Caenorhabditis elegans: one gene and its partner. The protein of the gene in region 1 purifies or fractionates together with the protein of each later gene. This does not show direct contact. Each region holds a gene or a part of one and is shown on either strand. Other genes may lie near its edges. The genes, in order: abcf-2 and eftu-2.

Region 1 (6,480 bases):
AACCGTTTTCAAAGCCAGAAACAAAAATTCAGGAGAAATCGTTGCGTTGAAAAGAGTAAGGTTGGACGATGATGATGAGGTACTCAAAAAGCATTCAAAAAAATAAACTAAAATTCAAATTCAGGGTGTTCCAAGCTCTGCTCTCCGTGAAATTTGTATTCTCCGCGAGCTGAAACACCGAAATGTAGTAAGGCTCTACGACGTTGTTCACTCAGAAAACAAGTTGACACTGGTTTTTGAGTATTGCGATCAGGATTTGAAAAAATTTTTCGACTCGCTGAATGGGTATATGGATGCACAAACTGCACGATCCTTAATGCTTCAACTTCTCCGTGGTTTATCCTTTTGCCACGCTCACCATGTACTTCATCGAGATCTCAAGCCGCAAAACCTGCTGATTAATACAAATGGGACACTGAAACTAGCTGATTTTGGATTAGCCAGGGCGTTTGGCGTCCCAGTTCGATGTTTTAGTGCAGAAGTTGTCACGTTATGGTATAGACCGCCGGACGTGCTTTTTGGAGCGAAATTGTACAATACTTCAATTGATATGTGGTCTGCCGGGTGTATTTTTGCAGGTTTTTTTTAAAAATTAAATTTGCCAATAAATTTTCCTAATTTTTACTTTTTCAGAGATCTCAAATGCCGGTCGTCCATTATTCCCCGGTGCTGATGTTGACGATCAATTGAAACGAATTTTTAAGCAATTGGGCAGCCCATCCGAAGATAATTGGCCATCAATTACACAACTTCCAGATTATAAGGTATTACATGTCGTAGTTCTTTGAATTTTTTGTATTTTCACCTCTACATATTCTTATCAAATTCTCTTAGTTCTCTAATTCCGTCTTCTTATCTTTTCCATTTTACCTGCCACGATTTTGCCGCTGTCCTGTCCTCCCGACTACTATCCGCCCGTGTCAATTGGTGAAAAACTAAAAAAGAAAAAGATAGAAAGAAGAAATGATATTGAGTACTTTGAGCTCAGCTGTTTGTTCGGGTGACGTAATTCATACAATCACGGGCGGCTGGGACAGGACAGAGAACAGAGTATTGAGTAGATTTAGAGAAGCAGAGACAACTGTTCTAGATTTAAGATTGACAATAATTAATTGAATTCCATTGCATTATAGGAACACACAAGTATAACATACCATTTTTCAGCCCTACCCAATCTACCATCCAACGCTTACATGGAGCCAAATCGTACCTAATTTGAATTCACGTGGCCGTGATCTTTTACAGGTAACTTTTTTCCAATAAAAATTATACTTACTCAAACTCGAAGTATTTGCAGAAACTTCTTGTTTGCAATCCAGCAGGAAGAATCGATGCCGATGCAGCTCTACGCCATGCGTACTTCGCAGACACTTCTGACGTCTAACTATTCACTATTGCACTTTCCTACTCACATTGTTTTCTCGCTTTCCCTGGCATTCACTTCCCCCACTGACCCCAAATGAACCTCATTGCTTGCGAAACAAAATCTCATCGTTAATAAACGGCTACGGTTTGAAATCTTTCTGTGGCACATAATTGAACGAAGGGAAAATCAACAACGTTTTATTGTTGTTCGAGTAATTTTAAAGATCAACGGCAAACACAGGTGCAATAACCGAGATTGTCAAACCGAGTCCAGATAAAGGGGCTATCCTAACGAATGTTCAATCGGGGTGTTGAGGGAAAGAATGAGAATTTGAAAAGGGGAAAACTTTAATAGAGGATTTAAAACTTTTTATGTGGCTCGCTTTATTTTTGAAAACTTAACATAGTAGCTAGGTGAACTACTTTGCTAAAACAAGCTACATAACGAGATTTTGTTGGACAATGACAAGGTAAAAATTATCAAAGTGTTATCAAATTTAAAGGAACTTCTGGATTTCGTCGTAGATGGCCAAGACGAGGGCTCCTCCGGTTCCACGGAAGACGTTGGAGAGGGCTCCCTTGAACATAGCGGACATTCCTTCGTTTTGGATGATCTTCTTTGCGCAATCGAGGGTGTTTTTGTAGAGGATATCCTTGCGTCCAGACTGCATCATCATACGACGACGAACAGTGTCCCATGGGTAGGAAAGGATTCCAGATCCGACTGTGACAACTTGAGCAATTCCCCAAGCGGCGAAGAAGTTGAGTTTCTGTCCATCAGAAGCGAAGACCATCTTGGCGGTATCGAACATTCCGAAGTATGCGGCACGGTAGATGATAATTCCTTGCACGGAGACGAAGAATCCTCTGTAGAGTCCGATTGGTCCATCGGATTTCACGATCTTGATAAGGCAGTCAGCAAGTCCCTTGAATTCACGGTCGTTGGCCTTTCCAATATCAGCAGCAAGACGGGTACGGGCAAAGTCGAGTGGGTAGACGAAGCAGAGGGAGGTGGCTCCAGCAGCTCCTCCGGAAGCCAAGTTTCCTGCGAAGAACCTGAATTTCAAATGTGAAATTTTCTAAAAACAATAATGCAATGTTTAACTTACTTCCAGAAGTCCTTCTTTTTGTCGAGTCCCTCAAGGAAGATTGCCTTGTATGTGTCCTTGAAGGCGAAGTTCATGGCCTGAGTTGGGAAGTACCGGATGACGTTAGCGAGGTTTCCTCTCCAGAGGGCAGCAACTCCTTGCTCCTTTGGGACACGGATGAGAACATCCATGATTCCCTTGTAACGCTTGTCAACGGCGATAGCCTTGGAAGCATCTTGGACCTAAAATTTTTCATATTTATAGTGGAAAAAAGTTTCATCACACACCTGGAGGAGAAGCTTGACACGCTCAATTGGGGCAACAGCGGTCTTGGAGACGGCAGCAGCGGTACCTAAAAGAAAACAAAATTAATTAAATCACAAATTTGACGAATGAAAACCCAAAATTAATAATTATAGAAATCCTCCAAATTTTTGCAATAAAAACTGAAAAAGCTTACCTCCTGAGGCGAGATCGATCAAGAACTTTTTGGTGTCGAAGGACTTTTCTTTGGACATGATTCAAGATTGAAGGACCTCGGTGGTCGGTGCTTGCCAGAAGCAATAGTGGGAAGACGGCCGCCCGTCGAAACGGGGTGCGCGCACAGCCCGTGAGGCACTTTGCAGGTCTCGCCACGCTCGCAAGTACGGTGCGTCAGGCGCGGCGATTCAAACACTAGTTTTCTCTGACCGCCCAGTTTTGGGATTTTTTGCATATTTTGAGCCTAAATATCAGTTTTGTTATCGATTTTTCGTATTTTTCTTTTCTAAACGTGTTCGTTCCTTCATTCCTGAATTTTTCACGTTTTGTTTTATTAAAAAAACGTGATTTATTTTCGAAAAATAGGTCATAACTCCAAGAAAGTAACTTAATTGCGAAAGTTTCAGTTTTTATGAAAATTATGAGCCATGTCAAAGCAAACACAATAGTGTATTAGTGATAAGCAGTACTTGAAGTGTTTTTTGTTTATTTACACTGTAGATAACTGGTTATTCGTAACCTCAATGTTCCGAAAAAAATCGATATCGCATTGTGGCTAATTTATGCCTACGGGAGTTTGGTATGACCGGTTTTTCGAATCGCTTTAAAGTAGTTTTCTTCATATTTCTCTTCTCATCGAGCCAATGACTTGTCACTATCATGGAATTTTTTTCGGGTATCAGTATGTCGAGCCACAAGGAAGAGCCACTCGAGGCTGACGTCGATCAACTTACTCAATACCGTGAGCGATGTGCCGACCATGTCACCGAATTCAAGAGTATTCTCGACGAGTGCAACGATCGTGTCAACTCTCGTTCTAACACTGAGGAGACCTGCCATCAGGAGATGGCTGACTACGTTCACCATTTGGATCACTGTGCCATGCCAAAGGCCTTCGCTTCGTTGAAATAATATTTCTTTTCCTGCTTTTTTTGAGGATTTCTCGTCTAGTTTATGTGAATTTTCGCTCTCGTATTTTTTATCCGTCGCTTTTTCCGTGTATTTGAGAGATAAATAAATAAAAATTTAGGGTACCCCATCCGCATCACTGCTGGACAACAATGCCGTCTGATGCGAAGAAAGCACGCGAGGCCGCTAAGAAGGCTGCCGCCAAAGGAGGAAAAGGAAAAAAGAAGGTGAGCAATTGATTTTTAGTTTTTTTTTGTTTAACAAATAATAATCATCTCATTTCCAGGTAGAAACACCAACCGCCATGTCATCTCAACATCCGTCCGTCAACAGTCTCTGCTGTTTAGACGAGGAGCTCGATCAGGCCGCCGCCACCTTGGCCAAAATCGAATTGGAAAACGCTGCTGCTCGTTCAGTCGCCGGATCATTGACTTCCGATCCAAAGGGTCTTGATCACAGAGTAGAAAGCCTGACGGTAAGTGGTTTTTAATTGGCGACTCCAACAAGTAACTTTGTTTTCATTCAGATTACATTCCACGGTCGTGAAATTGTCGTTGACACGAAACTCGAACTCAACCGTGGACGTCGTTACGGACTCATCGGATTGAACGGATCTGGAAAGTCTACCATCATTCAGGCAATCTACAACAAGGAAATGCCAATCCCAGAGTCCGTGGATATGTACCTCGTATCCCGTGAAATGCCTGCTTCAGAGAAAACTGCTCTTCAAGCGGTCGTTGATGTCGATTCAGTCAGAAAAGAGTTGGAACATCTTGCCGAGCAGCTTGCTAGTCAGACTGATGAGGAAAGTCAGGACAAGCTGATGGATGTTTACGAAAGGCTGGATGAAATGGATGCATCTCTCGCTGAAAAGAAGGCTGCCGAAATTTTGCACGGACTTGGATTCACAAAAACTATGCAAATGAAAAAATGTAAAGATTTTTCTGGAGGATGGAGAATGCGCATTGCTCTCGCTCGTGCACTTTTCCTGAAACCGTCAGTCTTACTTCTCGACGAACCGACCAATCATTTGGATTTGGAAGCTTGTGTGTGGCTTGAGGAGGAACTCGCTCAGTATAAAAGAACCTTGTTGGTGGTTTCTCACTCTCAAGATTTCATGAACGGAGTTTGCACCAACATCATTCATTTGTTCCAAAAGCAATTGGTTTACTATGGAGGAAACTACGACCAGTTTGTGAAGACACGTCTTGAATTGCTCGAAAATCAACAAAAACGATACAACTGGGAACAGTCTCAACTTCAACACATGAAAGATTACGTCGCGAGGTTCGGTCACGGTTCTGCCAAACTCGCTCGTCAAGCTCAATCCAAAGAAAAAACTATGGCTAAGATGATTGCCGGAGGCCTCGCTGAAAAGGCTGTCACTGAAACCGTGAAACAGTTTTACTTCTTTGATGCTGGGGAGATTCCACCACCAGTTATCATGGTTCAGCATGTTTCATTCCGATACAACGAGAATACTCCATGGATCTATAAGGATATTGACTTTGGAATTGATTTGGATACCAGAATCGCTTTGGTCGGACCTAACGGAGCTGGAAAATCGACACTGTTGAAGCTTCTCTGTACTGATGTGATGCCAACTGACGGATTGATCAGAAGACATTCGCATTGTAAGATTGGACGTTATCACCAGGTTGGGAATTTTTATGAAAAAAATCTGCTGTCCAAACAAAATTAGAAAATCCAAAAATTTAGTGAAAAACATTTCATTCAATTCGAAAGTTACACTATTTCTGAAGCAAAAGCAAGACAATGACCAAGACCAGGGCGATAATAATCCATCTCAAATTGTCAACTTCCTCCTCGGCATGCTCATCTTGCTTCACAGTTTTCATCGCTGGTGTTTGCTCAGTCGGTGTCATAGCCTGTGTAACAGCAGTGTTTGGACTGGTTGTTGAAGCTCTGAAATTGATCATTCTTATTCTTAAATTTCTGGTCGAAATGTGTGGGAATATTCTAGATATCGTCTGTGTAAATATGCTAATTTAGCCTGGCTTTTGACCACTTTCATATCAGACTTTGAACTAAATTGAACAAAACTCACGGAGTAACACCCAAATCTTTGCCGACAGCATCAAGAAGAAGTTGCTCAATTGGTGGAGCATCAGCATCGCACTGCTTCGAGGTGCTCACACGAGCCATTAGACGCGTGTTAGTTGGTGCCTCATCAGCCGCTTTCATTCCTTGATGCATGAAATAAGTTGTCAGCAGAAGCTTAGGCGTACCAAGTTCGCTCCACTGAGTGACACCATCTGGCTTCTGCCAAGTGAGAAGAATGCGCATTTGGGATTTCGGTGCAATGTGTCCTGATCCTGCTGGAAGAGCTGTGATGTTTGACGCCGCGCTGCAACGGAGCTTGACGAATATGTCACGGTCAGAAATGTTGCAGAGAAGGAGTTGAACACGAGCTTGATCGCCTTTATTTCGAATGGCTTGAAATGTCAGCAGTGTGGCTTTCATCTCTTTGTTGGGATCATCTCGGAGAGTGCGACGAATTGAAAGACGCGATCGAGTTTTCTTGCTGCTTGACGATTTCTTGGAACTTTTTCCCTTTCTCTTCGAAGATTGAGAGTTTTCCTTCGCAGTTTTCATCTCACTCTCTTGTTTATCATCT
Region 2 (6,480 bases), 7.5 Mb from region 1:
CGTTACGAGTTCTCCGTCCCTTCCCATTGAATAGTATTCCCCCTCTACATCTGTTCTATTCTCTTAATTTCTCGCCCAAACTATGGCCAATTTTAAAAGTTAATTATTATTTTTCCTCCAATCTTAGCCTCTTTTTCAATCCCCCCCTGTCAAGTATGAGCTATTTATAATATTTTTCGAAAAATAGGAGGTGAAATAAATATATATTTATTGAGTATTAATCAAATTAAATCTCTTGGAGATGAATTTGATTTGAAGAAAGAACACAAAGAAATTCTGAAAAAATCAAATACTTTGATCACAATCGGGAATCTTTCGATAAGATCCAGAAATCTGACGTAGATTAATTCAAACTAAATTTTGATAAATGGCACATGGCACGGATAAATGATAGCAATAATTTATAATTGTTTGAGCTCCTTGAATTCTTTTAGTAATTTCCCCATCACATCCGAATGTTTTAGTCCTTGTGCAGTGTATTTCCAATAGTGTTCTTCAGAATATTCCTTGAAGCCTTCTGGATGCTCACTGACAATACGACGAGGAGCTGGTGGAGATGGCTTTGAGGAATTGGAAAGAATTGGACCAACCGGCTTGGCTTTAGGATCTTCAATACGGATTCGAGTATTCGTTCGGCGGCAATAACGGTAGAGAATGAATCTGCCAAAACATCTTCCGCACGCTTTTCGTGAGGTGTCGAGAGATTTCGATTGACGCTTTATTCTGGAGAAAAATTATATTTTTATGTATTGGAAATTGGAAATTTATCAGATTGACGGTTCTGGTGTTTTGCTTCCCTATAAGACTCTCCTATAAATTCTAGTCGATAAGACTGTGACTATTAATAAATTTTTGTGACAGTTCAAAATCCCGAAAAATAAGGTAAATTTTAAATTATATTATTTTTTGGACGTATTATTTTCGAAAATTATTTTTTAATGAATTATCAGATATATCTAGATAAATTAAAAAACTTACTCTACATCACATCCATCTTTCTCACAAACATAGAAGAACTTTGCCTCAATCTCATAACTATGACATCTTTCAATAAATGGAAGTGACTTGAACACCGAAGAGCATCGAGCTCCCCATCTCTTCCATCCTGGGCCATGACCTTCTTTATGAAGCCTGTCGACCACCCATGTTGCTGCATGACACAGTTCATGGATCAGTGTATCTCGTACTCGTTCAGCAGTTGTACATACTACTGGTGACATTTCGACAGTGCTGTTTCCATTTGAATGATTTCTGCATTGGCCAGCTGATTTTCGAAGGCGTGCGTTCCATATGACTTTCAGCTTTTCCGATGGAATTGCTGAAAAGATTCGGCGAACCAGGATGTCTTGAAGACGTGTGAGAAGGGATTCGCGATGCTTTTTATAACGTAGAGATGTTTCCTTGATATACACCTTGGCATCTTCGTGTCTGGAAAAATATTTTTTAAGCAACTAATCTCTATATTATATTTTTTATAAAATTAATTTTTATTCTGCAAAACTTGTAGGAAAATTATCGAGAGCAAGGGTGTCCTAAAAATTTGTTCGATTTTTTTTTCAGAAAAATCTAAAATCTAAAAATCTTATATCGTTAAAGGAAATTTTTTAGCTTTTCCGGAAAACTGAAATGGGAAAAAATGTTTAGAAAACAAAAAATTCATTTTTAATCGATTTAAGTTGGTTAATCTTGATGATAAAAAAGCATGATTTTTTTTCAAAAAAAAAGGAAATTCGCCACAATTTGACGTTATTTAGAGAAATTGAAATATTGGAAAATGAGCATTTTCGATTTTCGATTTCTCAAAAATTATCTTACATTGGTCCTGAGAACTTCTCACTCAATGACAGAAGAAACCATTCTTCTTCGTCAGTTGGTCGCTTCTTCTGTTTTCTATCAGAATAGCTAATCTTCGCTTCAACTTCTGGACTTGATTCTCGATATTCTTCATCGTCGACATCTTCTTCCTCTTCTTCAGATTCTTCTTCTGAACTTTCTTCGCTTATATAATCATCATCAACTACAAAATCTTTTTTAACTGGAATTTTTCTCTCTGGTTTAGCTGGCTCCGTTGGCTTTTCTCGGAGAGTTTTGAGATCTAAAAAAATTAAAATTAAAACGGAATATTTTTTGGAGCATCGTTTACAGTTTTCAAAGTTTCCATCATCTTCTGAATCGGATGAAATAACTATTTTCTTTGTTCGTTGTTTCTTTTCTTCTTTTTCCTTCGAAGGTTTTCCACACGGAGGAACATTTTCCTTGTCATCATTCTCATAATCTGACAATGACTCCACTTTCTGAACTTTTGAATTTTAAAATATTCAGATTTCAAATATGAACATTACCAATGCTTTTTTGACTTCTTTTGGTTTCTGACGTGGTTTCTGGTTGGAATCAAACATTTCCGGATATAACTGTCGAAGCATATCTCTCTCATCTTCTTTTTCAATTTTCTGAAGTAATCTATCACCAGGAGTCATTGGAGCTTCTCTTGCAATGACTCTTGCAGGCGTTCTATAGGCTGGTGTTGGAGAGCTAACTGACATCATGGATATATTATTTTCTAGAATTGAAATGCTTTCGTCGAGATTTGATATTGGCTCATCTTTCTGAAATTTTAGAATTAGCTCATCATATATGAATTTTACTGCTTGCAATTTCTTTTAAGTTGGATTTGCTATCATTATTAGTTGATCTTCGACTGCTGAAGCTGGAACTCCATGCTGTTCTGCAAAAAATGTTCCTACAATCTTAAAATCCTTCCAAAAAACTTACTCGTACGATGACGCTGAAGCATTACTTTTGTTATGAAGATCTCGAAATGGTGTAGGCATTGAGGAATACAGAAGATTTGCAGAATACGAGAAAAATAATTTTAATCTTTGAAATTTTTGATTGGCGGCAAATTAAGCGCCGTTGGTGCAATTGCGTATTTGTTGCCAGAAATGACGAGCAAAACTTTGAACAAGGTTTATTTGGAGCGCGACTTGCTCGACTTGCTCGAGCAAGTCGTTTTTTTTGAGTAGAAAAATGATATTTTAATTATTTTTCAATTTTTCGTAAAAACATTTGCAAGAATTGACCGATTTTCCAAGAATAATTGAGCTGTTCTGGAAATGTGGATTACTGTAGAAAGTACCACAACTGCGCTCCACTGCAAACGTCGGGGAGCGATTTTCGAAAACGAATTCTTAAGCTGAAAAAATATCTTAAACCACATTTTAGCATATTTCCAAGCGCAAAATGTGTGTTCATAGTTACTTCTTGATTTGTATTTTTTGCTTTTGAATCTTGGCTCTTATATTTGCTCTATATTCTCATTGGGACTCTTTGTTTTAGGCAAATACTCACTTCTCTGTATATTTCTTCTTTTTTACTTTGAAAGTCTTTCATAACCGAATTAATTATTCAGAACTGAACGTCTCGAGCGATGGATTCGGATCTCTACGATGAGTTTGGTAACTATATCGGTCCAGAGCTAGACTCTGACGATGATGCCGGAGATATTGATGACAATGGTGATGATGAAGATCGTAGCGATGTGGATGAGGATGATGAACCAGACAGAATGGAAGAAGATGACGCAGAAGAAATTCCCCAGAATCAAGTTGTTCTTCATGAAGATAAAAAGTACTATGCTACAGCTCTCGAAGTATACGGGGAAGGTGTAGAAACCTTGGTCCAAGAGGAAGACGCTCAGCCACTCACTGAACCAATTGTCAAACCAGTATCCAAGAAGAAGTTTCAAGCCGCTGAGCGTTTTCTCCCGGAAACTGTCTACAAGAAAGAATATTTAGCTGATTTAATGGACTGCCCTCATATCATGAGAAATGTTGCAATCGCTGGTCATCTTCATCACGGAAAGACGACTTTCTTGGATTGTCTTATGGAACAAACTCATCCAGAGTTCTACAGAGCTGAAGACGCAGATGCTCGATTTACTGATATCTTGTTCATTGAGAAGCAGAGAGGATGCTCGATTAAATCTCAGCCAGTGAGCATTGTGGCTCAGGATAGTCGAAGCAAAAGCTATTTGCTCAATATAATTGATACTCCAGGTACCTAAACTATAGTGGTTCATTCGTACAAAATATATTATTTTAGGTCACGTGAACTTTTCGGACGAAATGACTGCTTCATACCGTCTTGCTGATGGAGTTGTTGTGATGGTTGATGCTCATGAAGGTGTTATGATGAACACTGAACGAGCAATTCGCCACGCGATTCAAGAGAGGCTTGCAGTAACATTGTGCATTTCGAAGATCGACCGCTTGCTTCTTGAGTTGAAGCTTCCACCAGCAGATGCTTACTTCAAACTCCGTCTTATCATTGATCAAGTCAATAATATATTGAGCACTTTTGCCGAAGAAGACGTTCCAGTACTCTCTCCACTTAACGGCAACGTTATTTTTTCATCGGGACGATACAATGTCTGCTTTTCTCTATTGTCTTTTTCGAATATCTATGCGAAACAACATGGTAAGAAGCTTACGAAATTAATGTCTTGCACGATTTTTATTTTCCAGGTGACTCCTTCAACTCAAAGGAGTTTGCTCGCCGTCTCTGGGGAGATATTTACTTCGAGAAGAAAACTCGCAAATTCGTAAAGAAGTCGCCGTCCCATGATGCTCCACGTACATTTGTGCAGTTCATTCTCGAGCCAATGTACAAGATCTTTTCGCAAGTCGTCGGAGATGTCGATACTTGCCTTCCTGATGTGATGGCTGAGTTGGGAATTCGTTTGTCAAAAGAAGAACAGAAAATGAATGTCCGTCCATTGATTGCTCTCATCTGTAAACGCTTCTTTGGAGATTTCAGTGCATTTGTTGATTTGGTGGTTCAAAATATCAAATCACCACTTGAAAATGCGAAAACTAAAATCGAGCAGACATATCTTGGACCAGCTGATTCCCAATTGGCTCAAGAAATGCAGAAATGTAATGCTGAAGGACCATTGATGGTTCATACAACAAAGAATTATCCCGTAGATGATGCAACTCAGTTCCATGTATTTGGACGTGTTATGAGCGGAACATTGGAAGCAAATACAGACGTCCGTGTACTTGGAGAGAACTACAGTATTCAAGATGAAGAAGATTGCCGAAGAATGACAGTTGGAAGACTATTTGTGCGTGTTGCCAGTTATCAGATTGAAGTTTCTCGTGTTCCTGCAGGTTGCTGGGTACTTATTGAAGGAATTGATCAGCCAATTGTTAAAACTGCAACCATTGCTGAGTTGGGATACGAGGAAGATGTCTACATTTTCCGTCCTCTCAAATTCAACACTCGCAGTTGCGTGAAACTTGCCGTAGAGCCGATTAATCCATCCGAACTCCCGAAAATGTTGGATGGCTTGAGAAAAGTCAACAAGTCATATCCGTTGCTGACGACTAGAGTTGAAGAATCCGGAGAGCACGTGTTGCTCGGAACTGGAGAATTTTATATGGACTGTGTGATGCACGACATGCGAAAGGTGTTCTCAGAGATTGATATCAAAGTTGCTGATCCAGTTGTCACATTCAACGAGACTGTCATCGAAACGAGTACGCTGAAATGTTTTGCAGAGACTCCCAACAAAAAGTGGGTTTTCATTCAATTTTTTCAAAACAATAATTTTTAATCAATTTTTTCAGAAATAAAATCACAATGATGGCTGAACCTCTAGAAAAACAGTTGGATGAGGACATCGAAAATGAAGTTGTTCAAATCGGATGGAATAGACGGCGTCTTGGAGAGTTCTTCCAGACCAAGTACAACTGGGATCTTTTGGCAGCTCGTTCAATTTGGGCATTTGGCCCTGATACTACAGGACCCAACATTCTTCTAGATGACACATTGCCATCGGAAGTTGACAAACACTTGCTATCAACTGTCAGAGAATCTCTTGTTCAAGGATTCCAATGGGCAACCAGAGAAGGCCCATTGTGTGAGGAACCAATTCGTCAAGTGAAGTTCAAACTTCTCGATGCCGCAATCGCCACAGAACCACTTTATCGAGGTGGAGGTCAGATGATCCCAACTGCACGCCGATGTGCCTATTCTGCATTCCTTATGGCCACGCCAAGATTAATGGAGCCATACTATACAGTGGAAGTTGTTGCACCAGCTGATTGTGTAGCTGCTGTATATACAGTGTTAGCTAAACGACGTGGTCACGTCACCACTGATGCACCAATGCCAGGATCACCTATGTACACTATCAGCGTGAGTTTAAATATAATGTTAAAAGAGAACACACATTAAAATAGTTTTATGATATTCTAAAATTATGATTTTCAGGCGTACATTCCAGTAATGGACTCGTTCGGATTCGAAACTGATCTTCGAATTCACACACAGGGACAAGCATTCTGTATGTCTGCTTTCCATCATTGGCAACTCGTACCAGGAGATCCACTCGATAAATCCATTGTTATCAAGACTCTCGACGTCCAGCCAACTCCACATCTCGCCAGAGAGTTCATGATCAAGACCAGAAGACGC

The links.
Region 2: the proteins of abcf-2 (region 1) and eftu-2 fractionate together in Caenorhabditis elegans (co-fractionation; one large-scale study listed by BioGRID). This does not show direct contact.

Annotation. Positions count from the first base shown.
Region 1 is NC_003281.10:13,459,722-13,466,201, reverse strand, and holds the start of abcf-2 (ABC transporter domain-containing protein), read left to right. Parts: upstream 1-3,963; 5' UTR 3,964-3,994; coding exon 3,995-4,069; intron 4,070-4,128; coding exon 4,129-4,317; intron 4,318-4,368; coding exon 4,369-5,499; intron 5,500-5,556; exon of another isoform or gene 5,557-5,593; coding exon of another isoform or gene 5,594-5,768; intron 5,769-5,910; coding exon of another isoform or gene 5,911-6,480. Other genes in the region: cdk-5 (Cyclin-dependent-like kinase 5), read left to right, coding at 1-79, 125-578, 634-764, 1,165-1,245, 1,298-1,384; ant-1.1 (ADP/ATP translocase), read right to left, coding at 1,863-2,421, 2,475-2,695, 2,741-2,805, 2,914-2,971; T27E9.2 (Cytochrome b-c1 complex subunit 6), read left to right, coding at 3,618-3,845; tag-164 (Major sperm protein), read right to left, coding at 5,594-5,768, 5,911-6,480.
Region 2 is NC_003281.10:6,006,153-6,012,632, forward strand, and holds the start of eftu-2 (Tr-type G domain-containing protein), read left to right. Parts: upstream 1-3,407; 5' UTR 3,408-3,427; coding exon 3,428-4,055; intron 4,056-4,101; coding exon 4,102-4,476; intron 4,477-4,523; coding exon 4,524-5,577; intron 5,578-5,630; coding exon 5,631-6,201; intron 6,202-6,276; coding exon 6,277-6,480. Other genes in the region: gcna-1 (Germ cell nuclear acidic-1 protein), read right to left, coding at 402-723, 979-1,428, 1,816-2,095, 2,144-2,294, 2,343-2,606, 2,653-2,725, 2,773-2,831.